Linked DNA regions of Macaca mulatta. The protein of the gene in region 4 interacts with the protein of the main gene of each other region in a pairwise test. Links are inferred from orthologs where the notes say so. Each region holds a gene or a part of one and is shown on either strand. Other genes may lie near its edges.

Region 1 (2,250 bases), on a different chromosome or scaffold from region 4:
CGCAGGAAAAAGAAGGTGTATGTTGGGGGTTTAGAGAGCAGGTATGAAAGGGAGAGGGACTCAGTTTTAAGTGTTAGGTTTTTGAAGGGAGGACACAGGCCATATCCCCATATCTTTGTTATTTCCCCCAGGGTCTTGAAATACACAGCCCAGAATATGGAGCTTCAGAACAAAGTACAGCTTCTGGAGGAACAGAATTTGTAAGTATCCCTCCAAACCATTCCCTTCCTACGCTCCTCATTTAATGTTTTCTCACTCTTTCCCCTGCCCTACACTTGATTTCTAACAGGGTGGCTGCCTTCACTAGGTCTCTGATTCTAAGAAGCTCACAGTAGTGGGGAATATATTTATAAGTAACTGAGAATAAGCTAAGTACCTAGAAAAAGAAAGGGGGTAAGAAAGACCTCATGGGCTTTCATAGGATTCTGGGGTTGGGTTGGGAAAGCATTCTAGGCAGAGAGAAAGCATCCTAGGCAAGAGGATTAGCCCAGCATAGTCCTCTTGGGCTGGAACACATGTGAGCTGGGACAGAAGGTAGAGAACGTAGAGAATGCCCGGTGAGGATTATGTGCATAGCTGATCAGACAATGGGGAACTACTGATGATATTTGCAAAGGAGGTTAAGTCCTGGAAGAGTTTGTTTTGTTTTGTTTTTGCTTTTTTTGTTTGTTTTAATGAGGAACTTCAGGCATTTTTTCCAGAGTGGAAGAAGTCGTTTGCAAAAATAGAATGAAAAGTAAGAGAGAGGATCCAGTGCAGAGATGGAGGAGGTGGCCTGAACAGGAGTTTCACTGTGTCTCAGGGTGCTAGGCCAGGGGATGCTCACCATTGGCCCCTCTCTTCCTCTAGGTCCCTTCTGCATCAACTGAGGAAACTCCAGGCCATGGTGATTGAGATATCAAACAAAACGAGCAGTAGCAGCACCTGCATCTTGGTGAGGATAGTGATGAGGGGAGAAATTCTTTTCTCAGTTGCTGGGGACAGTTGTGCAATCCAGAGCCCTTCTTCATCTCCTTTTTCCTCTGCTGTAGGTCCTACTAGTCTCCTTCTGCCTCCTCCTTGTACCTGCTATGTACTCCTCTGACACAAGGGGGAGCCTGCCAGCTGAGCATGGAGGTAAGAGGCTTAAGGATAGCTCTCAGACATGGGCAAGGGGAGAGGCCTGGGTTGGCCTCTGAAGATTCTTTGTCTCCTCAGTGTTGTCCCGCCAGCTTCGTGCCCTCCCCAGTGAGAACCCTTACCAGCTGGAGTTGCCTGCCCTGCAGTCAGAGGTGCCAAAAGACTGCACACACCAGTGGCTGGACAGCTCAGACCACGTACTCCAGGCCCCTGGCAACTCTTCCTGCCTACTGTACTACATGCCTCAGGCTCCCAGTGCAGAGCCTCCCCTGGAGTGGCCATTCCCTGACCTCTTCTCAGAGCCTCTCTGCCGAGGTCCCATCCTCCCCCTGCAGGCAAATCTCACAAGGAAGGGGGGATGGCTTCCTACCGGTAGCCCCTCTGTCATCTTGCAGGACAGATACTCAGGCTAGATATGAGGATATGTGGGGGGGGTCTCAGCAAGAGCTTGTGGGGCTCCCCATCTGTGTCCAAATAAAAAGGGGTGGGCGAGGGCTGGCTGCAGCTCCTATGCCCTATCAGGAGGACTGAGGGCTCAAACACACCACACTTACTGGCTTTCTGGGTCTTTTATTTGTACCCATGTGTCTCACCCCATGAATGTACCTGGGGAAATCAACTGACCTCCCTGAACATTTCATGCAGTGAGGGAACGGGTGAGGAAAGAAATAAATAAGTGATTCTAATGCTGCCTAGGTCACCCTCAACCCCCATTTACTGGCACAACTGGGTGGGGAGAAGGGAAGGGGTATGATTGTCCTGATGGCTCAGGGTTGCAGAAGGTTCAGAGGGGAAGGAGGAAAGGCCAGGCTGGAGGCTGGGCTATTAGTGCTTTCCTCCCACAGTTCAGACGGTTCACTCTGGGCTCACGTTTGCCATGGCTTCCTTTGGTCCAAACATAGGCCCTGTCCTTAGTCCTGTGCCCTGTTCGACTTTTGGCCTGGAGGCCTTTTTGTGCTGCTGCTGTTGCAGGGCTAGCTGCATGGCCCAGATGCTCAGTGGCCGCATGTAGGCCAGTGAGCGGAACACCCGCTGCTGGCAGTATGCCTCTGGGGTCTGGAAGGCCAGACCCAGGCGCTCCCACACGGTACGGTAGCAGCCTTCAGCTGTCTGGAAGCCCTCCCAAGTCAG
Region 2 (3,703 bases), on a different chromosome or scaffold from region 4:
GGCCTACATTTTACAGGGAAAGGTCCATGTACAAGACTGAGAAGAGGTGAGGAGTGCAGAAGTGCCTAGAGAGGGGAGAGAGGTAGTGAGCGAAAGGGTAGCTTAGAAGCTTTCCTTCCAGGGCTCCCCTGCTATGCTACCCTGAGCCATTTGATAAAAATGGAGGTAAAAAGAGGACTTGAGGCCAGTCTGATTCTTTCTTGTCCTAGTCTAGAGAAAGAAGAGAAGATCCTCTTCTATTCAGCATCCTTTGTCATATTTGCTCCTGCCTGCCTCCTGAAAGAGTTCACTGTTTGAGCATCAACCATGTGCTGGGCAGTAGGATAGGAATATAGAGTCAAACTCTTTGCAGACTAGATTTTGGCCCACACTCATTAACTCATCCCATTTGCTCCAGGGACAACTTAATGAAGACAAACTGAAGGGGAAACTGAGATCCTTAGAAAACCAGCTGTACACCTGTACCCAGGTAAGCATTCTGAAGGATATTTCCGTCTCGGGAATCTAGAATTAAATGTGAAGAATGCTTGAACCTCAATCTTACTTTTGAGAAATGCCACCAGATAGAGAATAACACACCCATTCCTACTTACCCAGTTCTGGCTTGGCCATTTTCACTTTAGTCTCTAATTCACTAGATCACTGTCTCCATCCTTCTTCCTCTCCCTTTCTCCCAGTATCCTTCTCTTTGCACCCTGGAGGAATCCCAGCACTAACCACTTTGTCAGCTCCAGGGGAACCTTGAGAATACCTGAAACTGTAGGGAAAGGCCCTTGGTAAAGATTCACAACACCCAGACAGATCTTTACACATCCTAATCTTTGAACAGATGAGTTAGATGTTATAACGAAGTCTTAGAAAATGATTTTCATTCCATGGGCAACTTTTTTTGTTTTTTCTAGCAACCCCTAGAAGAATGTAAAAGCTCTTTTACTTGGCTCTTCTGTAACACCATTTTCCAGCATTAGTAATCTCCTGATTGGCCTAATCTTGGTTTACAAGAGATAGAAAGAAATCAGCTTTCACATTTGAGAAGTGATGGATACCTGACAGGTGGGAAGATGTCAAATAAGAGAATGGGGCGGAACAGGCAGACTTCTCCCATCTGGAGTTAGAGAGAGAAGACAGTTGGCCACATAGATGGCGTCTCACAGGGGAAGAGAGTTTATGGAGTCTATAAGTTTCTTGGTCCACAACTTTCATTTATTCAGTATGACTTGCTTTGACAGGACTAAATAATGCCAACCAAGTTCACAAGAGACCAATATATAATCCAGAACGCCAATCTATTCATTTTCAATAAGGAATAACACATAACCAGTGCCCAGCATGGATGGTCATTGGATGTCCAATAACTGGGACATCCCCTACATATGACCTCAACCAGGTTAATTCCTGAATCTAGTTTTTAATGAAAGTTCCAAAACTATAAGACCCACTCAAATTTAAATCCAAAATTTCAGACAATTCCAAAGCTAAATGGAAATGATTTCATATTGATCCCTAAATTTTTGTCATCTGGTCTACTGCTTACACAGTGGGTAATCCAGAATTGACAGTAAAATCTGCCTGCCTTCTCCGAAATCACAGGACACAAAGATGAAAGAAAGGGAGAAGGCAAGACCCCCAGTGAATGTGCAAAGCTGCACTTGTGTCTCCTTAATCCTGCAGCCAGGAGGAATTTTATAACGCGAATGTATTAATTTTAAACCATTAAGTTCATTAGGCATTGTAGAGAAGCTACAGTGATTTTTTTTTAAAGCAGCAGCAGTATGCTCCCTCCCTGAAGGAGTTTACAATCCAGTAGGAAAAACAGATGAGTCAACAGAGTAGAATAATAGAGGCATGCAGGGTACACTATGTGAACACTATGAACACTAAGAAAAGCTGCCTAATCTATAAGACATTGTGGGATGGGGGCAGTTGGTCAATTTATCAGAACTGATGATACTGGACTGAATCTTGAGTGTGAGTAGAAGTTAACCAGTTCTAGGCAGAAGAAGCTATATGGGTAAAGGCAGAAGCCAAAAAAACAGAGTGCTAGGGGATCTGCAAACATCTCAGCTTAGGTGGAAGTAGCATGGGATGAAAGTCTAGGCATGTAAGTGGAGCCATGACAAGGAGTTTGGATGTGATTCTTAGGATGCTGAGAATCCATGGAGAATTTATGCAGGAAGTGGCAAGATCAGATTTGCATTTTAGAAAGAACCTTCTAAATGCGGGACTGAAAAGGGACTGAAGGGAGGCAAGATTTGAAGAAAGGGAAGCTGTTGCATTAATCCACATAACACTACTACTAGAGCCTGAACTAAGGAAGCAGCAGTAGGGATAGAGAGGAGACAGATATGAACTATGAAGGAAACTGTCAAGGTTCAATGACCAACTGATTACTGGAAGGAAATGAGAGAGAAAATGAAGATTGACTCCCTGGTTTAGGGTTTGGAAAAGACTAGATGGATGATGATTCTGGTCACTGAGATAGGAACCCCAAGAAAAAAGAACTTGTTTAGAAACATGAGTCCTGTTTAGACATGTTGGATTTCAAGAGCTTGTGGAAGGCCTCAGATATAATGCCCAGCAAGCCTAGGGCACTGTTTATTATACCCCCCCACTCATCTCTCATTGCCTGAGGGACTCTCCCTGCTAGCTCTACCCTAAAAGAAAAGGCTCACTAGATTACTGGTATCTCTGCCTGGGGGAAGAACCAACTTCTTTTCATTTCTGTATCCCAGTTCAGGATTTGGCACACAGAAGTTCAATGTGTATTTGTTGAATTGCATCAAATTTACAGAAATACTCCCCTTGGGGAATGAAAAAAGTACTACTGGAGATGGAAGACCAGAAAAACAGCTATGAGCAGAAGGCCAAGGAGTCACTGCAGAAAGTGCTGGAGGAGAAAATGAACGCAGAGCAGCAACTACAGAGCACACAGGTATGGGGATGCCACACAGACCTTGGGGTTGGGGACTCCAGGCAGCTTGGGGAACAAGGGAGCCAGCTGCACAGCTCCCTGGAACCTCTCCTCTCTGACCCCCCTCAGCGATCCCTGGCCCTGGCAGAGCAGAAGTGTGAAGAGTGGAGGAGCCAGTACGAGGCTCTGAAGGAGGACTGGAGGACCCTTGGGTCCCAGCACAGAGAGCTGGAGAGCCAACTCAACGTGCTTCAGTCCAAACTGCAGGTACCAGGCACTGGGGGTGGGGAGGGAAGACAGGGTATGGGGAGGAGGGGTGGTGATGAAGAAGCTCTTCTGGATTAGGGACTCCAAAGGCAGCTGACAGCATCTGGCTTTCAGTTCCTCAGTCACCACCTACTTTGTACCAAATTCACTGTTTTGGCTCTGAAATTTAATTTCGAGTTTAGCAAGGATGTCTGCACTGCTCATGCAAATGAACTAAGCGTTCATTGGAATGACACCATCACCATCCAAATGAAAAGAACTGGCTGGAATATATATCAGCCTACTAATGTCATATCCCAACCCACTCTCCAAACTCCATCCCAAAAAAGCATCCAGTTCAGAATTGCCCACTGTTGGCACAGAAAAAATGTCACTAATTTATTTACAGGTGAGTACTAACTAACACTTTTTGCCAATGTGTTTTTTAAGCAATTACATTTAGCAATTACAATTAGACTCCTGGCATCCTCAAGGGTTCCATCATCTTCAATCTGTCCTAAGACTCGGTTTCCCCATCTGTAAAAT
Region 3 (3,703 bases), on a different chromosome or scaffold from region 4:
TAGTTCTTACGATTAAATGTATGAAATCAGCCTCAGGCATTAGACAAATGGAGAGCTTTAACACACACAAATGAAACAGTAGAAGCACATACTTTTCACAGACTTGGCCACTATTTTCCTTTACTGTGATTTCTCTCTACTGCAGACATTAGCTGGCTAGTAGCAAAGGGATGTAATTACAGTGGCCACATTTACTGAATGCTTACTATGTACCAGCAGTTAAGCACTTACATGGATTATCTCATTTAGACTTTATAAAAACCTCACAAAGCAAGTAGTATGGTGAGGTTTGATTTATAGTTAAGAAAACTGAACATGAGAGAGGTTTAAAAAAACATCTCAGAAGGTACAACTGTAAAGTGGTGCATTTTTATCACACACGCTCTGCCTCTAAAGCCCAGATCCATTACCATTACCTATTGGTCTGGTTGGCAGACCACACAGGTTCTAGGCTTGGCTCAGGTACAGACTTGCTCTGTGTTCCATCTATGTACAATAAATAATGTCAATGTCCTCCAGGGGAAAAAAAAAAGCCCTAAGAACACACCTGTAGTTGGACAAGATTGTATTTATTGACTCATTGCAACAAGTGAGAATATAAAGCATGGGAAAGTGTAAAGTACCTTGAAAAGTTATTACAGGATTTGAGCTCATGTTAGGTGAGGACACGGGAGTAAATCTATTGAATATTTTAATAAATCTTATCTAGAAGGTGGGAAGAACAGAATGACCCAAAAGCTGCTGGAAAAAAAAGAAAAAAGAAAAAAACAAAACAAAACAGTTTTTTGGTTTAAAAAAATCAACCAGGATAGGGGGATGTTGGGTCATTTTCGTGATTTAGACAACGTTCTTGTCTGAGTCCAAACATTATAAAGTGGCCTTGTTTCTGCTTTGATCCAAAGTCACAGAGTAGCCTTGTCTGATACTGTGTTCTTTGATATTACCGATGTCCAACGGAACACCAAGGCCTAGCTGACAACGCCTGACCAGTCTCTGCGGCTTTTCCCTTGCTTAATAACAGCAAGCAGTTGCAGCACACTGACTGTGTACCATGGACTGCTCTTAGTCCGTACGAGCATTAAACTCAATTTTAATCTTCTCAAGAAACTCTGACATGGGTACTAATTTTATAACAAGGAAATAGGCCGAGAGGTTAACTGGCTTACCTGAGGTCACCCCGCTGAAAAATGGTGGAGACAGGTTGAGAACGCAGGCACCTTGGCACTCAGCTGAGGCTCCTCACCACCACCCTAGACTGCCCCTCAGAAACCAAGAGTTCTTTCAGAGGTAGAGAGGCAGAGCAAGCTCTTGAGCCTGCCTCCTGAAACCCTGCCTTTGCTTCTCCTTTCAGCTCCAAGACTGCCCTGCGCATTGGGAGCAGCGATACCCAGCTGGATGAAGTGAAATCAGTACCAGCCAAAAGCCACCTGGTGAACCACCTCAATTGCCCCATGTGCAGCCGGCTGCGCCTGCACTCATTCATGCTGCCCTGCAACCACAGCCTGTGTGAGAAGTGCCTGCGGCAGCTGCAGAAGCACGCCGAGGTCACCGAGAATTTCTTCATCCTCATCTGCCCAGTGTGCGACCGCTCGCACTGCATGCCCTACAGCCACAAGATGCAGCTGCCGGAGAACTACCTGCGCGGGCGCCTCACCAAGCGCTACATGCAGCAGCACGGCTACCTCAAGTGGCGCTTTGACCGTTCCTCCGGGCCCATCCTCTGCCAGGTCTGCCGCAATAGGCGCATAGCGTACAAGCGCTGCATCACCTGCCGCCTCAACCTGTGCAACGACTGCCTCAAGGCCTTCCACTCGGATGTGGCCATGCAAGACCACATCTTTGTGGACACCAGCGCCGAGGAACAGGACGAGAAGATCTGCATCCACCATCCATCCAGCCGCATCATCGAGTACTGCCGCAATGACAACGAATTGCTCTGCACCTTCTGCAAGTTCTCTTTCCACAATGGCCACGACACCATCAGCCTCATCGACGCCTGCTCCGAGAGGGCCGCCTCACTCTTCAGCGCCATCGCCAAGTTCAAAGCAGGTCCTCCCCTTCTCCACTCCTTCAGCCTAACTTCTAGTTCAGGAACACATGGGGAAGATGGCGTGGGGCAATGTGCTAAGTGAGTGCCTTAACAGATTCCACCTAGTGGAGCAATCAAGGCACCAGGAAACACTGTGCTATCCTGCAAGTCACTATCCTGGTGTCCGCTCCTGGTAACCACTACCAGTCACTTAACTTCTCCGTGCCTTGCTTTTCTCACCTATGAAATAGGGGAATAGTAGTGACCCCCTCACTGGATTGCCATGAGGATTAAGTGAGTTACTCTATGTAAAGAATGCAAAAAGTCATATGACAAGTGCATAAAGATTCTATAATCTTGATTATAATCTGCATGTCCTCAGGTCTCATTTTCTCTTTTGGAAAATGAAGACTTTGATCCTATAGTATACTGACGTTCTGTGATGTTCTAAGGTGTTCTGTCACTGTTGGATCGCTTTGGTTTTCCTAAATGTGCAGGGGGAAAGAATTAAGTCAGTGCTGAGAATTATCTCAATGTTAAATTTCCCTCCATGAATTTTTTCCAAAACTTGCAGATGCCAAAGTAAATAAACTGGCAGCAAACATATAACAACAGGGACAATTCATAACTAGCCAACGGTATTCTAGTCAACAGCTTGTTTTTCCTCTGCATTCTTGTTCGTGGTGATTTGGTTGTTTTATATTGTTACATATAATATTGCTTTAAGTGAAATAATATTTCAGTGATGGTTTCAGTGATGGAACCAAGCATAATAATATTTCACAGGATTCAGCAAAGAGCCCATAATTTCTTGTTTCAGTGACAAAACCAAGTATAATCATATTTCACAGGATTCAACAAAGAGCCGCATAATTTCTGGGTATGTCTCTACCTGGTCAGACATTAGAATCCAAAAGATTCCTTTAGTGCCCTTTACCCTCAGGAATAGTTCCTTGTATAAAGGCCAACTTTACTCAGGCCTGTGGAGCACATTTTGTCTAATCTCAATAGTGCTACAGTACAGGCATTAAAATGTCCTCCATGGATAAGCCAACTGTGGTTCAAAAAAATAATTAGGACAGGCAGCTAATAAGTGGCAGATGCAGTCTATTTGACTCCAGTGTCCACCATTAATTCCACAACATTTATTTGACAATCTACTCTGTGCTAAGCAGTGACCAGAATCTGAAGATGAAGAGATTGAAGGGGAGGAAGGGGGAACCACCACCACCATCCATGGTCTGTTTCATTAAGGAGTGGCCTGCAGTCAGTTACCAAAGTGCACCAGATCAACCCAGGCCTTTCCCATTGTCAGATCTGTTAGTCTCCAACATTCAGATAGGCCTATACATTGGGAGGGAGGCAGCTTTTCCTTGAGCTGCACAGAAAGGTCCCACTGGATATAAAGGTGGATCCAAAACAGACTTTGCTAATGACCACATCACCCCTGACTTCTCAGCAGCTTCAGGAATACCTCGAGTTTTCTCAGTTGCCACATACCTGGAAACATTGCTTGTCAATTGACATTTATTTAATTCTGGAACCACCACCAGGGAATACTTCATATTAAAGGAACCCTGCAGGAGCCACATGTTATCAAGAAAATGGTAGAACTGTTGGTTCCAAAAGGGTTTTCTGAAGGTGGGACTCACTGCTTCCCTAGGCCAGGGCTTG
Region 4 (4,308 bases):
CTGGGAATCCTAGCCACAGTTCAGGCTCCTGAGCAGGCCTTGGCAGCCTTCCATAGCTCATCACCGACGTCTGCCCCCTGCCTAGACACGCTGCCCTCAGGGACTATTCCGACAGGAGAGGACGCCCCGCTGCAGCTCCCCCCAGTGCCCCGGGTGAATGAACGGCATGAAGGATTAGGCGGGCACACGTTGTCTCTGTACGCATCGCACGGCGCCCTCTGCCCGCGCCCACTGGCGTGCCCGTCGGCATGCCCGGGCCCCTTCGAAGGCTGCTTGCTTCTGGAGTGCCAGCGGCCTCCTGGCCCAGTGCCCCATTTCCTCCCGGGTAGAGTGAGGGAGGAGGAAGGGAAGCAGAGAGGTAGGCGGTGGGAAGCAGCAGGCACATGTGCGCGGGCGAGAGCCCTGCAGACTGGGAAGAAGGGCCCGTGGCAGGGGGTCTGCGGAGATCCCATAGGCGCGGGCCTTGCCCCGCAGCCGCTTCCCGAGCAATGCGCACACAAAGCGCCCCCGGCAGTGCCTGGCCCCGGGCCCGCGCTCTCTTAGGGTCCGCTGCCGGGGCGGCCGACCGGGATGCGGCCGGGAAACCCTAGGCTCTGGGGCCCAGGAAAGGGGGGCGACGGCGGGGAGCAGGGATGTGCAGGGACCGGGCGAAGTCCAAGTGACTTAGGGACCAGAGCCACCCCAAGCGCCGACTTCGCCCGCTCGCACGTCCCGGGTCCCTAGCGCGCAGGCCCCATCCCTCTCACCCGGCTGGCTCAAGCGCGCCACAGGGTGACGTCTTGGCTCCCAGCCGTGTCGCCCTGACTCCCGCGCGGGCCCCGCCCCCTGCCGCTAGCCAATCTATGCGTTTGTGACTTTTGGGCCCGCAGCCCCGCCTACTCCCACTGCGATACCAGTTTGCATTGCCCTGACTCCCGCGCGGGCCCCGCCGCCTACGCCGCTAGCCAATCCGTGCGTTAGTGACGTGTGGCGCCCCTCGCGGCGCGGCTTGCTCCCACCGCGAGACCTTCTGCCCCGCGCCCGCGCGGGCCCCGCCTCCTCCATCGCTAGCCAATCCCCATGTTTGTGACGTAAGGGCTCTCCGCTCCGCTCGCTCCCAACGCAAGACCTTTTGCTCCGCGCCTGCGCGGGCCCCGCCCCCTCCATCACTAGCCAATTCCCGTGTTTGTGACATATGGGCTTGCGGCCCCGCCCGCTCCCACCGCGAGACCGGTTCCCACCACCCTGACTCCCGGGGGCCCGCCCCCTCTGCCGCTAGCCAATCCGTGAGTTGATGACGTTTGGGCTCGCGGCCCCAGCCTCCCAGCTCTCAAGGCCCGGCCGGTCTGTGCCGGCTACTCCCGCCGTTAGGTCCCGCCCAGCGCAGCGCGCGCAGCCTGCGAAGCCAGCGGCCGTGACGCGACAGCGATTCGGCTGTGACGCGAGTGCGGCCGCTCCCGATGCACTCGTGCCGCCCCCGCCGTGCTCCTAGGCAGCCGTTGCTCGGCCGGTTTTGGTAGGCCCGGGCCGCCGCCAGGCCTCCGCCCGAGCCCGCACCCGCCATGGACGACTACGCAGATCTTTCAAATACCGAGCTGACCGCCTTGCTGCGCCGGTACAACATCCCGCACGGGCCTGTAGTAGGTACGCGGCGGCGGGCGGGACCCCTTCCGGGCCCCCTCCTCGTGCTCCGCCCCGCGACCTCCCCGCTGCCCTCCCCGCGCCCCTTCCCCGGACCGCGGCCCTGACCGCCCCGTGTCCGGCCAGGATCAACTCGTAGGCTTTACGAGCAGAAGATCTTCGAGTATGAGACCCAGAGGCGGCGGCTCTCGCCCCCCGGCTCGTCCGCTGCCTCCTCTTATCGCTTCTCTGGTGAGAGCCTCGCCTGTGGGGACGGCCTGGGACGCGGGGAGGATGAGGTAGCGAGGGTGTGGCAGGGGTGCCGGTCGAGAGCGGCACTGGGGAAAGGGGAGGGAAGTCTTGGGGTGGGGGTGGGGGTGGGGGGGCAAACAGTTCTGTCTCCTCCTTTCAATCCAGACTTGAATTCGACGTCAGGGGATTCAGATATGTATGATCTTCCCAAGAAAGAGGACGCCTTACTCTACCAGAGCAAGGGTAAGGCAGGGGTTGGGTGGGCACGCTGGCACCTTCACCCGACTGCGTCAGGGACCCCGCTCACAGGGAGGACCTGAGACCTCAGTCCCAACCACTCCAGCAGCCTTAGGAGGGAGAAACTGTCACAGGTCCCGAAATGGGATTCAGATTAGGGCCATCGGGCCAGGCGGGGCACACCGATGCCCCCTCTGCTACCGCTGCCCCCCTTCCCAAGGCTACAATGACGACTACTATGAAGAGAGCTACTTCACTACCAGGACTTATGGGGAGCCCGAGTCTGCGGGCCCGTCCAGGGGCTTCCGCCAGTCTGTGACTTCACTCCCAGATGCTGACACTTTCCACCACCAGGTGAGCTGGTTGGCAGGCGTACTGTACTTGGGTACAACCTAGGGGATCGCGGCTGTGTTTGGATAAATCCAGGGGGCCACTGGGTACAAATGGTGGCCCTTGGGCCTCTGGGGAGACTTTGGCTCAGCAGACACCTGTTTGGTCAGGGTCCTACTTTGGGGAGCCCTCAGAACTATGTGACTAGAGCACATAGGATGCGTCCTGCACCCTGGTCTGGGATCTAGGCTCCAGCTCTTCCTGAGAGTCCTGGGGGCAAAGGGGGGTGCTGGGGCATGAGCACAAGTAGCAAGGCCCCATGGATAAAAGGCCGAACACCCAGAGTCATTCAGGAGGGTGTGGGTCCCTGGCCTTTAACCAAAGGTCAGAGGGGACCTGCTGGGGAAATTTGAGAGGGACGTGGCAGGGCCATTGTGGCCCTGCCAGCCAGTTCCCTCACCTTGACTCTCTTCTACAGGTACGTGATGACGACCTTTTGTCGTCTTCTGAAGAGGAGTGCAAGGATAGGTATGTATGTATGGGGAAGGCCAGGGACAGGGGCTGGTTCTGGACCCAGGCTCCTGGCCCACCTGTTCCCCTCTTTTGCCTCAGGGAACGCCCCATGTACGGCCGGGACAGTGCCTACCAGAGCATCGCGCACTACCGCCCTGTTTCAGCCTCCAGGAGCTCCCTGGACCTGTCCTATTATCCTACTTCCTCCTCCACCTCTTCTATGTCCTCCTCATCATCTTCCTCTTCATGGCTCACCCGCCGTGCCATCCGGCCTGAAAACCATGCTCCTGGGGCTGGGCTGGGCCAGGATCACCAGGTCCCACTCTGGGGCCAGCTGCTGCTTTTCCTGGTCTTTGTGATCGTCCTCTTTTTCATTTACTACTTCATGCAGGCTGAGGAAGGCAACCCTTTCCAGAGGGAGCCATGAGGGTCTGGGCTTCAGAGCCAGGTCTTCTGGGGAAGTCCTGGCTGACTGCCTTAGCAGTGGGGGTGGGGGTGGGGGTGGGGGCAGGGGCAGGGGCAGGGGCTTTTATGTGTTCTTGCTTGGGGGGCGCTGGGCCTAGCCCAGAGTAGTGCTTGCTCCCCCTGCCTTGTCCCACCAGGGAGGCAGCAGATTCAGGCCCTCCATGGGGGCCTGAGTGTGCTTTCCTCGGCAGCCTCCTGGCCCTGCTTGCCTGTAACCCTTAGGGTCCAGGAGGGCAAGGCCTCGCTCAGTCAGAGGAGAACATGGTTCTTGTTGTCATGCATGCCTCCTTTTTGTCATCTTGTTGGGGGGGATTAACCAAAGGCCACCCTTTGTTTTCGTGGACACACAATAAAAACCCCATTTATTTTTAATGCGTTGGCTCTTCCTGGAGGAGAGGGTTGGGCTCCCATGGCAAGGGCCTCTGCGTCTTGGGACTCGAGGATTGCAATCTGGCTTTGTTGGGTCCGCATTTTTGCTTTGGTCTGGGGATAGGAATCAAATGCTACCCAGAGATGTTTGTGTTTTGTTTGGGAGTTTTATTCCCTAACTCATTCCCCAAAGCACCTGTAACTGCTTATACATATAATTGTGGTACAACAAGGCGTATACAGAGAACCCACTTAGAAATTCAGGCAAAGCAGCCGGGCGCGGTGGCTCAAGCCTGTAATCCCAGCACTTTGGGAGGCCGAGGCGGGCGGATCACGAGGTCAGGAGATTGAGACCATACTGGCTAACACAGTGAAACCCCGTCTCTACTAAAAATACAAAAAAGTAGCCAGGCAAGGTGGTGGGCGCCTGTAGTCCCAGCTACTCGGGAGGCTGAGGCAGGAGAATGGCGGGAACCCGGGAGGCGGAGCTTGCAGTGAGCCGAGATCGCACCACTGCACTCCAGCCTGGGTGACAGAGCAAGA
Region 5 (4,474 bases), about 39 Mb from region 4:
AGAGTTAAATAATTTACATTTTTCAAAATCTCTTCAGACATTTATTTATGTTGTGGCTTCTGTAATAGCTTGAATATATTTTCAGCTTTGAAAATGTATTAATTTGATCTTTATTTCTACTGAAGAGCCAGTGACAAGATTTCTCTAACATTTTAAAACAGCGTTTGATTGAGCAGTATTAGGTGATAACAGGAACAATTACATTTTTCTTAAGAAATGTCATGGACACAACTTTAAGGCCATCGAACAGCATGTGGCAGGTCGGGTATGGTGGGTCATGCCTGTAATCCCAACACTTTGGGAGGCCAAGGTGGGAGGATTGCTTGAGGCCAGGAGTTTAAGATCAGCTTGGCCAACATGGTGAGATCCCCATCTCTACAGCCCGAGAGGAGCCTGGGAGGTTAAGGCATGCCAACCTGGGCAACAGATCCAGGAAAGAAAGAAAAAAGAAAGAAAGGAAGGAAGGAAGGAAAAAAGGAAGGAAGCTAGCAAGGAAGGAAGGAAGGAAGGAAGAAAGGGAAGGAAGGAAGGAAGAAAGAGGAAGGAAGGAAAAGAAATAGCCGGGTGCGGTGAGGGAGGGAGGCCGAGGCGGGTGGAAAAAAAGAAGTTAGGAAGAAGGAAGGGAGGGAGGGAGGGAGGAAGGAAGGAAGGAAGGAAGGAAGGAAAGGAGAGAAAGAGGGAAAGAAACAAAAGAAAGGAAGGAAGGAAGGAAGGAAGGAAGGAAGGAAGGAAGGAAGGAAGGAAGGAAGGAAAAGAAATAGCCAGGTGTGGTGAGGGAGGGAGGCCGAGGTGGATGGAAAGAAAGAAAGTAGGAAGAAGAAAGAGGGAAGGAGGGAGGGAGGGAAAGTGTGGGCACGGTGGTATGAGGGCAGCCGAGACGGGTGGATCACTTGAGCCCAGGAGACCAGCCTGGCCAACATGGTGAAACTCCATCTCTACTAAAAATACAAAAATTAGCCAAGCGTGGTGGCACACTCCTGTTATCTCAGCTACTTGGGAGGCTGAGGTGGGAGAATCACTTGAATCTGAGAGGCAGAGGTTGCGGTGAATGGAGATGGCACCACTTCACTCCAGCCTGGGCGACAGAGAGAGATTGTCTCAGTAAAAAAAAAAAAAAAAAAAAAAAAAAAAAAAAAAGAGGAAAGAAAGAATGAAAGATGAAAGAAAGAAACAGAGAAAGAAAGAAAGAAAAGAAAAGAAAGAAAAGAAAGCATGTGGCATTGCAAGCCTGTGAATCCTCCCTAGATGTAAATTTGGGCTCGCTCTTGGAATTTGAGAGAAGCAGAGCACCAGCCCATTAAGTCAAGAATATAAGGTTTTATTCCCCATGAATGCCAACAGCAAAGAGGAGAAATGGGTTCTAGGAACTGTGAAAGGCAAGGGTCGGAACACCACATACACTAGAAACTTGTAGCCAACTAGGTAGTGTTCTGGGTGGAGACAATATTTTTAGAAAGGGGTATGCAGTGGGAGATGAGCGGGTCTTTCCTTTTTTTTTTTTTTTTCTAGTGAGCCAAGCTCCTGATAGGAGACTTGGTGAGAGGTATACGCCAAGCTCCACCCCTTGGGGCTTAGCAACAGCAAAGGAAGAGGCTATGATTGGAGGATCAGGTTAGCCCACCATGCTCCTCCCGCGCGGTGAGGGGGCGGTACACGCGCCTGAGCTCGGAGTGTGACGCCATGATACAGAGGAGATGGCTTCGTTTCAGAAGCTAACACTTCCTGAAAAAGTGTCGCCAAATCGTCCCAGTCGGAAAAAGGTTAACTTCCTAGATATGTCTCTAGGTATGTAGATCTCGGATCCCAGTCCCCACTAGTTTGGGCTCACTGGTCTTGAGCGCAAGACCTCGGCATACCGCTGACTAGAAGTGGCGTCGGGAGGAGCACACCGCTTCAAGGAGAGGCTTCCCCCTCAGGGCATCTCCGCACCTGCCCGGCCCCTATCCCTCCTCTCCTCTTCTTCTCCTCACCTCCAGCCCTCTCCTTTCAGGTGGGGAACTCTGAGGGAGGCTGACAAAAAGTGCGTGGGGATTAAGGATTGCTGAAAGGGGCAGGCGGAGAAAATAGACCATTTCCGTGTATTTTACTCTCCCAAGAATTGATACCTAATTACTGGCCTCCTTCAAACACATGGGGCCAAGTGCTCTTCTCAGTCCAAGCGGATGTCATAAATCACTAGATTCCAGGGCCCGGAGGAGCAAGCCTCAGGCTATTTTGCTAGGGATTCCAGCGTGGTAGTGCCAAGAGTTGTTGGTGGGTTGGTGTATCTGCTTTGTTGGAAGGGGTGGTTGGTGCGTTTATTTGCTTGTTGGCTGGTGGTTATTCGCTCTGGATCGCCTTTCTTTGCAGGCACTCTCTAGTCTCTAACTTGAGACCTCTACACGGAGAGTGGAACCTTAGAAAAAATAAATCCTTTATCAATGCCCCTAACCTCCTCCATTCGCACCAAACCCAGAAAAAGTGAATTTTACTCGGACCAGTTCCTCTGCTATTATCCACCTTAGAAATGGGGAAGAGGGGAGGGAATAGACTTTCCAAGCCAGATAGGGAGTGAGCAGAGCTGAGTAGAGGATGGAAGCTGACTTTAGAAATGGAGAGGGGCATCAGAGCACGGAAGAAGGAAACTGTAGAAATGGGGGAAGGAGGACAAAACAGAAAAGGCCTACTTTATTTATTTAGGTTTGTGTGTCTGTGTGTGAAACAGGGGCTTGCTCTGTTTCTCAAGCAGGTGTGCAGTGGCATCATCTTGGCTCACTGCAACCTCCACCCCCTGGCGTCAAGCGATCCTCCCACCTCAGCCGCCCGAGTAGCTGGGACTACAGGCACATGCCACCACACCCGTCTAGGTTGTTTTTTGTTTTTGTTTTTGTTTTTTTGTATTAGTAGAACGAGGTTTCACCATGTTGCCCAGACTGGTCTCCTGGTCTCAAGTGATCTGCCCCCCTCGGCCTCCCAAAGTCCTGCAATTACAGGCGTGAGCCACCGCCCCCAGCCTGGTTAGTTGTTTTTGAGACAAGGTCAGGGACTGTTGTCTGGGCTGGAGTATAGTGGCACGATCAAGGCTCACTGTGGCCTCAAGCTCTCAGGCTCAATCAAGTGATCCTACCACCTCAGCCTCTAGAGGAACTGGAACCACAGGTGCTTGCCACCACACCTACCTAATTTTTAAATTTTTGTAGAGAATGGGTCTCCTTATGTTGCCCAGGCTGGTCTCGAACTCCTGGCCTCAAACAATCCTCCCGGCTCGGCCTCCCAAAATGCTGGGATTGTGGGCCTGAGCCACCGCGCCTGGCCAGGGGCCACTTTAGAAATGAGAGAGGGAGAGGCAGAGCAGTGGGAGCTGAGCTTCAATGTGGAAGTGCAGGGGTGGAGCGAGGAGAAGCAGGAACAAGGAGGGCGGACCTTAGAAATGGATGGAACAGTGGAAAGAGGGTTCACCTTAGAGATGAGAATAGGGGAGCAGAGCAGGGAGGGCTGAACTTTAAAAGGGGCAGGATAAGTGGAGGGAGAGTGTACCATAGAAATGAAGAAGTTTGGCTGGGCTTGGTGGCTCATTCCTGTAATCCCAGCAGTTTGGGAGGCTGAGGTGGGCGGCTTACTTGAGGCCAGGAGTTCGAGACCAGCCTGGCCAACATGGTGAAACCCCATCTGTACTAAAAATACAAAAATTAGCTGGGCATGGTGTTGTGTGCCTGTAGTCCCAGCTATGTGGGAGGCTGAGGCAGGAGAATTGCTTGAACCCGGGAGGTGGAGGCTCCAGTGAGTTGAGATCGCGGCACTGCACTCCAGCCTGGGTGCCAGAGTGAGACTCCATCTCAAAAAAAAAAAAAAAAAAAAAAAAGTACTGAAATGAAGAGGGGCGCTGTGGCTCATGCCTGTAATCGTGGGAGGCAGAGGTTAGGCTGGTCTTGAACTCCTGACCTCAAGTGATACGCTTGCCTCGGCCTCACACAGTGCTGGGATTACAGGCGTGAGCCACCTCGCCCGGCCTAAACTTTCTTTATAGTGTCCTTTGAAGTCCTGAAGTTTCAGATTCTGATAAAATACAATTTATCTGTTTTTTTGTTGTTGTTCATGCTTTGGAGTCATTTCTAGAAAATCATGAAGATATACCCTTGTTTCCTTCTGAGTTTTCTAGTTTTAACTCTTACATTTACATCTTTGATCCATTTTGAGTTCATTCTTGTATATGGGGTGAGTTAAGAGCCAACTTCATTATATTGCATTTTGATGTCTAATTGTTCCAGCACTACTTGTTAAAAAGACTAATTTTCCTCCATTGAAAGCTCTTCTTGGTGGAATTGCTTTCTTAATTTCATTTTTGGATAGTTAATTGCTGGTATATATAAATAGAATTAATTTTTGCATATAGATCTTGTATCCTGCAACCTTGCTGAGCGTGTTCATTAGTGCTAATCTCCGTGTGTGTGTGTGTGTGTGTGTGTGTGTATCTTTAGGAATTTCTACATACAAG
Region 6 (4,487 bases), about 2.6 Mb from region 4:
CTTCTTTGGGGCCCCCAGGAATGCAGGCAGGGCCTATATCAGCTCTGCTTCCCAAGAGCTCGGCCCCAGCGCTGGACAGGTGAGGTGGGGGCAGGGGACAGGCAGCCTCAGACCATGCTGCCCTATCTCAGCTAGTTCTGACCCCTTCCTTTGCACTCCCTCTCCTTCCTTCCTTCCTTCCTTCCTTCCTTCCTTCCTTCCTTCCTTCCTTCCTTCCTCTTTTCCTCCTTCCTTCTTTCCTTCCTTCCTTCCTCCCTTCCTCTTTTCCTTCCTTCCTTCCTTCCTTCCTTCCTTCCTTCCTTCCTTCCTTCCTTCCTTCCTTCCTCCCTTCCTCTTTTCCTCCTTCCTTCCTCCTCTTTATCCCACCTGACCCAAGGGCTCTGGGGGAAGAAGAGGCTATTTCTAAAAGGAACGTTTTATAAACCTGTCCTGATTCCTTTCACAAATAGCCTCCTATTCCCCCAGGGGCTCTGGGGTTGTTTCCTAGAATGAAGGGTTCACCATAGGTCGTGTAGCAATCAGTGTTTTCCAGAGAAACAGAACTGATAGGATGTATATATGTATGTATGTATGTATGTATGTATCTGCATATGCACAAGTATATATACATTTATTTTAATAAATTGACTTATGCAATTGTGGGGCTGACAAGTCTGAAATGTGCAGGGCAGCCTGGCAGGCTGGCAACTCAAAGAAGAGTTGACACTGCAGTCCTGGGGTAGAATTACCTCTACTTTGGGAAACCTCAGTCTTTGCTCTTCAGGCCTCTCAGTTGATTGTGTGAGACCAACCCACATCATCGAGGATGTGTCTCTACTTTACTTCAAGTCCACTGGTTGTAGATGCCAACCACAGCTACAAAATGCCTCCACAGCAACACCTAGACTAGTGTTTGAAGGAGTCACTGGGGACTAGAACCTGGCCAGGTGACACATAAACCTGACCATCACAGTGGTCTAATCAGTAGGGAAACTGAGGGAGAATTGGGACTTAGAAGGTGCAAGGCCTGAGGCCCCTGGGAGTTCTAGTGGCTGCAGTCAGGTCCCACCTCTCTTACCCTTCTCTCCCTTTGTTCTCATGGCTCCTGCCTAGTCTGACCTACTTCAGAAAAAGGCTACCTCCCATGTCTGGGGACTCTGGATGGGGGAGGTAGGATATGCTCTCCAGAGAATCCCTTCTGAAGGTGTGGTATGGCCTGGATTGCTAGGACCTAACTCTGCTGTAGCCACTGCCTGGCTCTTGGACCCTGTGCCAATCCCTGTTTCTTCATAGAAATGATGGAGGGTAGACCCCACCCTTCCCCCCATGGGCTAAATATGGAGATTTATGAGCCAGAGCAGTTCTCACAGTCAAAGGCATGGAATTGTATCTCTTCTCCTAAGTTGCTTACAGAGTAGCAAGGAGAAGGCCACGGACCTAGCCAACAAGATACAATAGAAACAGAAAGTGCTGAGTCCAAGGCCTCAGCCTAGAGAGGGAGTCTTGCTCCACCCCCAGGTCTGACTATATCTTCCTTGAGCTCCTGTTCCAGGAAGAGGTGATTTTCTGAGTGTGACTCCTCTGTTCCTGGCACCCTGTACATCCTTAGCCATAGCTTACAAGTGAACAGCTGGTTGTGATGGCAGGAGGCCCTCCCAACACCAAGGCAGAGATGGAAATGTCCCTGACAGAAGAACTGAATCATGGACGCCAAGGGCAAAACCAAGAGCACCTGGTGATAGCGGGTGAGGATCCCCTAAAATACCCCTAGGCTACAGCCAACTGTGTAGATACATGTCTGTACCTGTGCATGTGTGTGTTGGGAAAGGTGCATGTGTGCATGGAAGTGTTTGCACATCTGTGTGTTGGGCGGGCTTTGAGGATTTGTGGGTTGATGGTAAGGGATCTAGGAGAAAAGGGATAGATGATGTGAGCATTTTGCCCTGGGAGGGAGGAGGATGGGAACAACATGTGTGGTCCCTCTGTCTTCCCCTTGTCCAAGCCACCACAGTGTCTGTTGCAAAATACTCAGAGGGCTCAAATTATGAGACCAGAGATCAATTCTCTCTCCCAACCCTCGAATTCATTTTCCTGCCATTTGGAGGAAAATCCAGACTCCATGATCTATAAGATTGTATCAGCCTCCTCAAAACATTTCATACTATGATATAGACAGAAAATACCATTTCTATAGCACACAAAGGGATCCAGATCACATTGCATTTATGTTTGTTCTTACAATGCTCCAAGCCTGCTTCTTCCCCAAAGACCTTGCATTTGCTGTTTCCTCTGTCTGGAATGCTCTTTCCCTCAATTTCCCAGGGCTGGGTCCTTTATTTTTTTCAGGTCCCTGCCTCAATTGTTGTCTCCTACTTTTCTAGAAGGAGCCCTTTCCTTCCACTATGTTACCCTGTTTTGATCATTTATGGAGCCTGCATCTCTCTGTCTGCATTTGCAAGGATAGACCTTCTGTTTTACACCTGTCATTCACTCTTATACACAAAACAGATGGTCAGTTCCTTGATAGCTGGAATCTTGTTCTTGGTCATTGCTCTCTAGATTACTGGAGAGTAACCTAGTCTCGAGCTGAGCCCTCAGGATTCTTGTTTAACTTTTGAACAGATGAACAAACTGAGACCTGGGATCAGCTGGTGGACAGTGGTTAATGGGTGCTGAGTGATTCCCAAGAAAGCTGGGGACTCTGTCTTCTTTTTGGTGTGTTTTGTGCCCAAGAAGCCCTGGTACAACTTCTATGGGTGCTCCTGGGGTCTCTGTTCTTCTCTCTAGAAATGATGGAGCATGGATCTCGGTCCCTGGGTGCCTCCCAGAAGAGGCAGAAGTTGGAACAAAAAGCTGCTGGCTCTGCTTCAGCGAAACGAGTTTGGAATATGACTGCCACCCGATCCAAGAAAATGGTACTGCATGGGGTCCTCAGCACATGTTGGCCAGGTTGGGGTTGGGAGTACTGGTTGTAGGGGCTGTAGCCTGACCAGGTCAGGCAGGGCTAGACATTGACTTGTGAGGAGGAGGAAGCTCCTGTATTCCAAGCTGGCAAATGAGGACAGAAAGGTCAGGGTCATCCTTTCCTATGCTTGGGATGCAACCTTGGGAGTTCAGAACGCCTGAAACAAATATTGCATGGGGAGTACATAAATATTTCACTCTGTAAATCCATTGTGTGAAATAACGCTTCCTGTATTTAAAATTGTGTGTGTGGTGCGTGTGTGTGTATACACACAATAACTCAGGTGAGGCTCCTACGCTTTCTGGCTGTTAAGAAATCCAGTCAAGTCGTCTGGCATGGTGGCTCATGCCTGTAATCTGAGCACTCTGGCAGGAAGAGGTGGACGGATCACTTGAGGCCAGGAGTTGGAGAACAGTCTGGCCAGCATGGTGAAACCTTGTCTCTACTAAAAATACAAAAATTAGCTGGGCATGGTGGCACATGCCTGTAATCACAGCTACTCAGGAGGCTGAGGCATGAGAATCGCTTGAACCTAGCAAGCAGAGGTTGCAGTGAGCTGAGATCATGCAACTGTACTCCAGTCTGGGCAACAGAGCAAGAGAAAGAAAGGAAGAGAGAGAGAGAGAGAGAGAGAGAGAGAGAGAGAGAGACAGAGAGAGAGAGGGGGAGAGAGAGAGAGAGAGAGAGAGAGAAGAAGGAAGGAAAAGGAAAAGAAAGGAAAGAAAGAAAGAAAGAAAGAAAGAAAGAAAGAAAGAAAGAAAGAAAGAAAGAAAGAGAAAGAAAGAAAGAAAGAAAGAAAGAAAGAAAGAAAGAGAAAGAAAGAAAAAAGAAATCCAGGAAAGTGAATCTGACCATTTTGTAGCCAGTCCTTTTAAGCTACATTCGATATGGGTGAAGGAATGTTTTAGAATAAATAGTGGCTATACTGTTGCAAATGATATTGGGAAAACACAGTCATTTTGGATGGGGAGGGAAGCCTGACTATTCTAGAGAATTAAGTGAGTCCCACAGTTCTGTAGCCAATCATTTTAGCTAGCTAAATTCACTGTGAGTAAGGGAAAGTTTTACAAAAATTGTTGTTATGCTGTTGCAAAGGCTGCTGGGAAAAGGCAACAAGATTGGAGAGGGAGGGAGGTCTGACTGCTCCAGGAAATCATGTGAGTCCCACAGTTCTGTAGCCAATTCTTTAAGCTACATTCATTGTGGGTGTTGAATCTTCTAGAAAAATGCTGGCCACATTGTTGCAAAGGATACTGAGCCATTTTGCAGAGGAGGTAGACCTGACCGTTTTAGGGAATCATGAATCCCATAATTGCGTAGCCAATGTTGTTCACCACATTCAGGTGGATGAGGGAAAGCGTTAGAAAATGGTGGTTTTACTGTTACCACAGTAAAGTTTGAAAGTTATTGGGGGGCAATAAGGTTGGAGAGGGAGGGAGACTTGATTGCTGAAATGATTTATTGGGTAGCCCCAGTGAAGAATGAGAAAAAAAGCTTGCAAGTTAGAGATTTCCTGGGAATAAAAATAAGTCAAATATTGAGT
Region 7 (4,213 bases), on a different chromosome or scaffold from region 4:
GTTGAGGAGGGATCATGAGGAATGTGGGGAACGGGATTTTTATATCCCTCCCCTCTTCAAAAAAGGAGCAGTGTACACCTGACAGAAAGTTCTCTTCAATAAAGTTAATGAAACAGGAGTATTTGAATTCGAAGAATCTATTATTAGACTTTTAGACACTCCATGAAAGAGTGTGGGCCCTGTTACTTTAGAAATATACTTGGGGACTGGCAAAAACTGTCATCTCTGATTTTAATAGTGGACACATTTACTCCCTGCTTCCATTCTCTGGGCTACTCTGCGCTCTTGGAGCGAGATGGGAAATTTTGTCAGGCCGCAGCAAGGGCGGATTTATACTGATGGTCCTCAAACTTGCCCCGGGCTGCTTCCAGAAAGCTAATCGGATTATTTGTACTCGGTTCCCAGCAATATCCTTTGCAGTCAGCTTGTCGCTGGCGCGGATCGCAAGAACTGAAACGCCTTAAGGGTGGGGACGGCGCCCCCTGCTGGTCGCGCCCTCGGGCGACGGTAAGAGATTGAGGACTCGAGCCCGCGCGGGGAAAACGGCTATGGGCTTGGCTTAGGGATGGTTCGCAGGTCGCCTGGTAGGAGCAGGACCGCCGGGGCCTTGTCCGTTCTGTGGTTACGTAGGTCATAGAAGGAAAATTGGTTTGTGATCTGATGGGGAATCTGTGAGGACAGACCCAGGGAGGGCAGAACTAAGCGCACCGCCGGGGGGGTCGCCAGAATTGGAGGCGTGTGCGCCTCTGACAAGTATTTGCAACGTAAGTATGCATATGGATAATGTATCAATACACATGTGTAATAGATGCCAAACAAATTATTCAAATAATTGTCACACATTTAAATTTTCAGACATTCACAAAATCAAATGTAAAATATTAAACTGAAAGTTCGCAATTTAAATTTTCAAAAATTAAATCTAATTTCCAAAATTAACCGTTTTCAAAATTAAATTTTAAAATATTCAAAATTCCAAGGTAAATTTCCAGAAATAATTAAAACTTCAAAACTCAAATCTTTTAAATGAAATGTATAAACTTTAAAAGGTGAGTCATTCCTCAGCTGGAATCGCAACCAGGGCCCTCGAATAAAATGCTATTTTGATCGCTAGAACACACAGAAACTTCCCTAAAACTGCTCTACAAAATTCCCTAAAAACCCGGCATCAACCCGCCTTTAGCGGCGTTCTATAGGGTAGGTTGTATCTGGGGATCTGCCTTTTCTGGTTCTGCCTGTCCTGAGTTGGAGATGTAACAGGGAATCTGTGAACCTAAAACAAGCTTCCTATCCCGCTTCCACGCTCTAAATCTGGCTTTCCACCTGACACCCCACTTCCGCCCTCTCCCCTCGGCCTTCCCCTTGACCCGACTGCATCGCCAATCATATCCTTTCATTTGTCATCACCGCCTTGGCCCCGCCCCCTCGTCTCAGGCCGTCGCACACGTTTTGCGTCAGTAGGCAAGGCACTTTACGGCCGTCGTGCCGCTCATGTCAGTCAACATGGAGGCAGAGGAATCGGAGAAGGCCGCAACGGAGCACGAGCCGCTGAAAGGGACAGAACAGACACTAGACGCGGAGGAGGAGCAGGAGGAATCCGAAGCAGCGGCCTGTGGCCGCAATAAGCGGGTAGTGCCAGGTATTGTGTACCTGGGCCATATCCCGCCGCGCTTCCGTCCTCTGCACGTCCGTAACCTTCTCAGCGCCTATGGCGAGGTCGGACGCGTCTTCTTTCAGGCTGAGGGTAAGTATGCAGACCCTGACGGTGAAAGGAGGAGGTTGTCGCTCGCTGGCGGGGTGCAAGCATGGATGTCCTGTTGCTTCGCTGCGCAAGACTGAGGCACGAGTTGTTGGATTTTGGGGGTGGGGAGTGCGGTGCTCGGCTCCTGGCTGGTGAATCAGTCTGTGAGGATGCTGGGGTGGGTGGGCGGAGGGGATATGGGGAGAGTGGGTAGCGCAGTGCGTCTGGTGGTTCTTTAGTTCTCGGATTGTTACTATTCGTGTTTTTATCCCGGCCCTGCTCACCTCTCTTTCCGGATCTGTTTACTGGTTTGTTACATGAGTACAACAGAGTAAAAGCCTCGTTAGCTTTTCTACAAAACTGAACATACCCCTTTAGCATCGCGGCCTAGGTCAAGAAACTGATCAACCGCCCTTCCTCTTTCCACCGTCAATTTTACATTGAGGTTGGGGACTTGCGCGGGTGTTAAATAGCGTTCAAAGCCGGCCAGATTAAGGAGTGGACAATTAAGGAAATAATTGAGTTAGCTAGAGGAAAGGGTGCAATTTACAGTTCCCTCCCTCCTGGGCAAAAACTCTCAGGTGGAACTCCCGCTGGCAGATGTGAAGAACGATGCGGGCAATGGGAAGTGGTTTTGAGTGAGTGCTGCATAGTCCCTGACGGGTCTTTTTGTCTTTGGCGCTCAGATCGGTTCGTGAGACGCAAGAAGAAAGCAGCAGCAGCTGCGGGAGGAAAAAAGCGGTCCTACAGCAAGGACTACACCGAGGGATGGGTGGAGTTCCGTGACAAGCGCATAGCCAAGCGCGTGGCGGCCAGTCTACACAACACGCCTATGGGTGCCCGCAGGCGCAGCCCCTTCCGTTATGATCTTTGGAACCTCAAGGTGAGGAGATAGATCTTTCTGCCACACCTCTCACCCTCCCTTCTCCCCAGCTCTGGCCCAGGTATACCCATGGCTTCTCATTGGTCTTGTCCCCTGTCTCATCTTTCTCCCTAATCTGCACTATCCTGATCTTTTCTTATTTTCTGCCCACAGTACTTGCACCGTTTCACCTGGTCCCACCTCAGTGAGCACCTTGCCTTTGAGCGCCAGGTGCGCAGGCAGCGCCTGAGAGCGGAGGTTGCTCAGGCCAAGCGTGAGACCGACTTCTATCTTCAAAGTGTGGAACGGGGACAACGCTTTCTTGCGGCCGATGGGGACCCTGCTCGCCCAGATGGCTCCTGGACATTTGCGCAACGTCCTACTGAGCAGGAACTGAGGGCCCGGAAAGCAGCACGGCCAGGGGGTCGTGAACGGGCTCGCCTGGCGACTGCCCAGGACAAGGCCCGCTCCAACAAAGGGCTCCTGGCCAGGATCTTTGGAGCCCCACCACCCTCAGAGAGCATGGAGGGACCTTCCCTTGTCAGGGACTCCTGAGGGCCAGGGTGGCCCCTTCCAGCTCCTAGCCCTGCTCTGCTTCCTGTCTACCTCATACTAGAATGATCGTGACTATCCAGGCAAACATTTTACTGTGTTTCTCAGACCAGGTGTCTCTGCTAAGGGCCCAAACGTGCAAGTTTTGAGGGCTTCCACTATCCTCACTCCGAACTCCTGTATATGCCTGGCTGAGTCACCTAGTTCATACTGTCATACTAGCATGATTATGACTATTGCATATGCTTGTTTTGTTTGACTCTTGGCTGCCTACGTCTATAGGGTCCCCTAAAAATCCCACGTTCTGCCCCCAGGAACGGGCCTTTATTTCCAACTAGGGGGATAATGCCTGCAATAATCCCGGCAATCTTTCTCTGTTTAGCAGTCACAGGTGAGGGTGGTATTAGCATCTTTTTTATGTAGAAAAAATTGACAGTTAATGGCGTGGACTGAGTTGGGAAGAAATACATTTCCTAATGTATTTATAGAAAATAAAAATATTTTTTATGCCTTTTTATTTTTGTTGGGGAGGGTCATTGGACAAGTTCCAGCTTTCATCTCCTTGTGTTCACCTTCATCTCCTGATCTTAGAGCCCCCCCGCCCCCGCCACCCACCTTACTGTTTAACCTGGATTTTTTTTTTATTTAATTTCTATTATCTTAGCCCAGTTTATCAATTAGTTATCTTAAGTCAGCATTTTCTAAGCCATTGTTTGAGGAAACAATGACAATAGGTAATAACACATCTTAGTATTAAGAGTTTTACAGGCCACTAGTATAAGATAGGCATCGTGGTAGATGCATATACGGGGTGGAATGGGGGCCACAGCATGTCATAGAGCCCCTCTCAAGGGGGACGTGATTGATGATCACAGTCTTCAGTGGTGAGTCAGTCCTCACCAAGTTTTCCAGGTCATTCCTACAAAATAACTGTAAGAATAATAAAGAAGAAGTTTGAAAGAGTCTGGAGTGCTCCCACAATTGCAAACAATGCTTCCTGGGTGGAGTGTTGAGTTGGAACCATTGTAAAGGTGGGCAAAGCCTAGTAGAGAACCAGT

The links.
Region 1: the proteins of EMD (region 4) and CREB3 interact in binary tests that used the Homo sapiens proteins (3 or more experiments, as listed by UniProt). The two-hybrid records come from large-scale screens. The link is inferred for Macaca mulatta from reciprocal best matches to the Homo sapiens genes EMD and CREB3.
Region 2: the proteins of EMD (region 4) and TRAF3IP3 interact in binary tests that used the Homo sapiens proteins (3 or more experiments, as listed by UniProt). The two-hybrid records come from large-scale screens. The link is inferred for Macaca mulatta from reciprocal best matches to the Homo sapiens genes EMD and TRAF3IP3.
Region 3: the proteins of EMD (region 4) and TRIM42 interact in binary tests that used the Homo sapiens proteins (3 or more experiments, as listed by UniProt). The two-hybrid records come from large-scale screens. The link is inferred for Macaca mulatta from reciprocal best matches to the Homo sapiens genes EMD and TRIM42.
Region 5: the proteins of EMD (region 4) and LUZP4 interact in binary tests that used the Homo sapiens proteins (3 or more experiments, as listed by UniProt). The two-hybrid records come from large-scale screens. The link is inferred for Macaca mulatta from reciprocal best matches to the Homo sapiens genes EMD and LUZP4.
Region 6: the proteins of EMD (region 4) and FATE1 interact in binary tests that used the Homo sapiens proteins (3 or more experiments, as listed by UniProt). The two-hybrid records come from large-scale screens. The link is inferred for Macaca mulatta from reciprocal best matches to the Homo sapiens genes EMD and FATE1.
Region 7: the proteins of EMD (region 4) and ABT1 interact in binary tests that used the Homo sapiens proteins (3 or more experiments, as listed by UniProt). The two-hybrid records come from large-scale screens. The link is inferred for Macaca mulatta from reciprocal best matches to the Homo sapiens genes EMD and ABT1.

What each region holds. Positions count from the first base shown.
Region 1 is NC_133420.1:63,959,689-63,961,938, reverse strand, and holds the end of CREB3 (cyclic AMP-responsive element-binding protein 3), read left to right. Parts: coding exon 1-41; intron 42-131; coding exon 132-200; intron 201-849; coding exon 850-934; intron 935-1,031; coding exon 1,032-1,116; intron 1,117-1,197; coding exon 1,198-1,532; 3' UTR 1,533-1,554; downstream 1,555-2,250. Other genes in the region: GBA2 (non-lysosomal glucosylceramidase), read right to left, coding at 1,975-2,250. UniProt on the Homo sapiens protein: Endoplasmic reticulum (ER)-bound sequence-specific transcription factor that directly binds DNA and activates transcription. Plays a role in the unfolded protein response (UPR), promoting cell survival versus ER stress-induced apoptotic cell death.
Region 2 is NC_133406.1:67,527,436-67,531,138, forward strand, and holds part of TRAF3IP3 (TRAF3-interacting JNK-activating modulator), read left to right. Parts: intron 1-397; coding exon 398-469; intron 470-2,791; coding exon 2,792-2,932; intron 2,933-3,040; coding exon 3,041-3,178; intron 3,179-3,703. UniProt on the Homo sapiens protein: Adapter protein that plays essential roles in both innate and adaptive immunity. Plays a crucial role in the regulation of thymocyte development.
Region 3 is NC_133407.1:43,688,616-43,692,318, forward strand, and holds part of TRIM42 (tripartite motif-containing protein 42), read left to right. Parts: intron 1-1,351; coding exon 1,352-2,049; intron 2,050-3,703.
Region 4 is NC_133426.1:160,532,453-160,536,760, reverse strand, and holds EMD (emerin), read left to right. Parts: upstream 1-1,443; 5' UTR 1,444-1,541; coding exon 1,542-1,623; intron 1,624-1,746; coding exon 1,747-1,851; intron 1,852-2,016; coding exon 2,017-2,094; intron 2,095-2,308; coding exon 2,309-2,442; intron 2,443-2,896; coding exon 2,897-2,946; intron 2,947-3,030; coding exon 3,031-3,358; 3' UTR 3,359-3,765; downstream 3,766-4,308. UniProt on the Homo sapiens protein: Stabilizes and promotes the formation of a nuclear actin cortical network. Stimulates actin polymerization in vitro by binding and stabilizing the pointed end of growing filaments. Inhibits beta-catenin activity by preventing its accumulation in the nucleus.
Region 5 is NC_133426.1:121,839,266-121,843,739, forward strand, and holds the start of LUZP4 (leucine zipper protein 4), read left to right. Parts: upstream 1-1,648; 5' UTR 1,649-1,694; coding exon 1,695-1,785; intron 1,786-4,474. UniProt on the Homo sapiens protein: Export adapter involved in mRNA nuclear export in cancer cells. Binds and enhances the RNA-binding activity of the nuclear RNA export factor NXF1. Can restore mRNA export function in cells compromised by loss of mRNA export adapters.
Region 6 is NC_133426.1:157,951,532-157,956,018, forward strand, and holds the start of FATE1 (fetal and adult testis-expressed transcript protein), read left to right. Parts: upstream 1-1,530; 5' UTR 1,531-1,618; coding exon 1,619-1,724; intron 1,725-2,766; coding exon 2,767-2,894; intron 2,895-4,487. UniProt on the Homo sapiens protein: Involved in the regulation of endoplasmic reticulum (ER)-mitochondria coupling. Negatively regulates the ER-mitochondria distance and Ca(2+) transfer from ER to mitochondria possibly implicating it in the regulation of apoptosis.
Region 7 is NC_133409.1:156,468,511-156,472,723, reverse strand, and holds ABT1 (activator of basal transcription 1), read left to right. Parts: upstream 1-1,496; 5' UTR 1,497-1,503; coding exon 1,504-1,744; intron 1,745-2,427; coding exon 2,428-2,624; intron 2,625-2,777; coding exon 2,778-3,158; 3' UTR 3,159-3,670; downstream 3,671-4,213.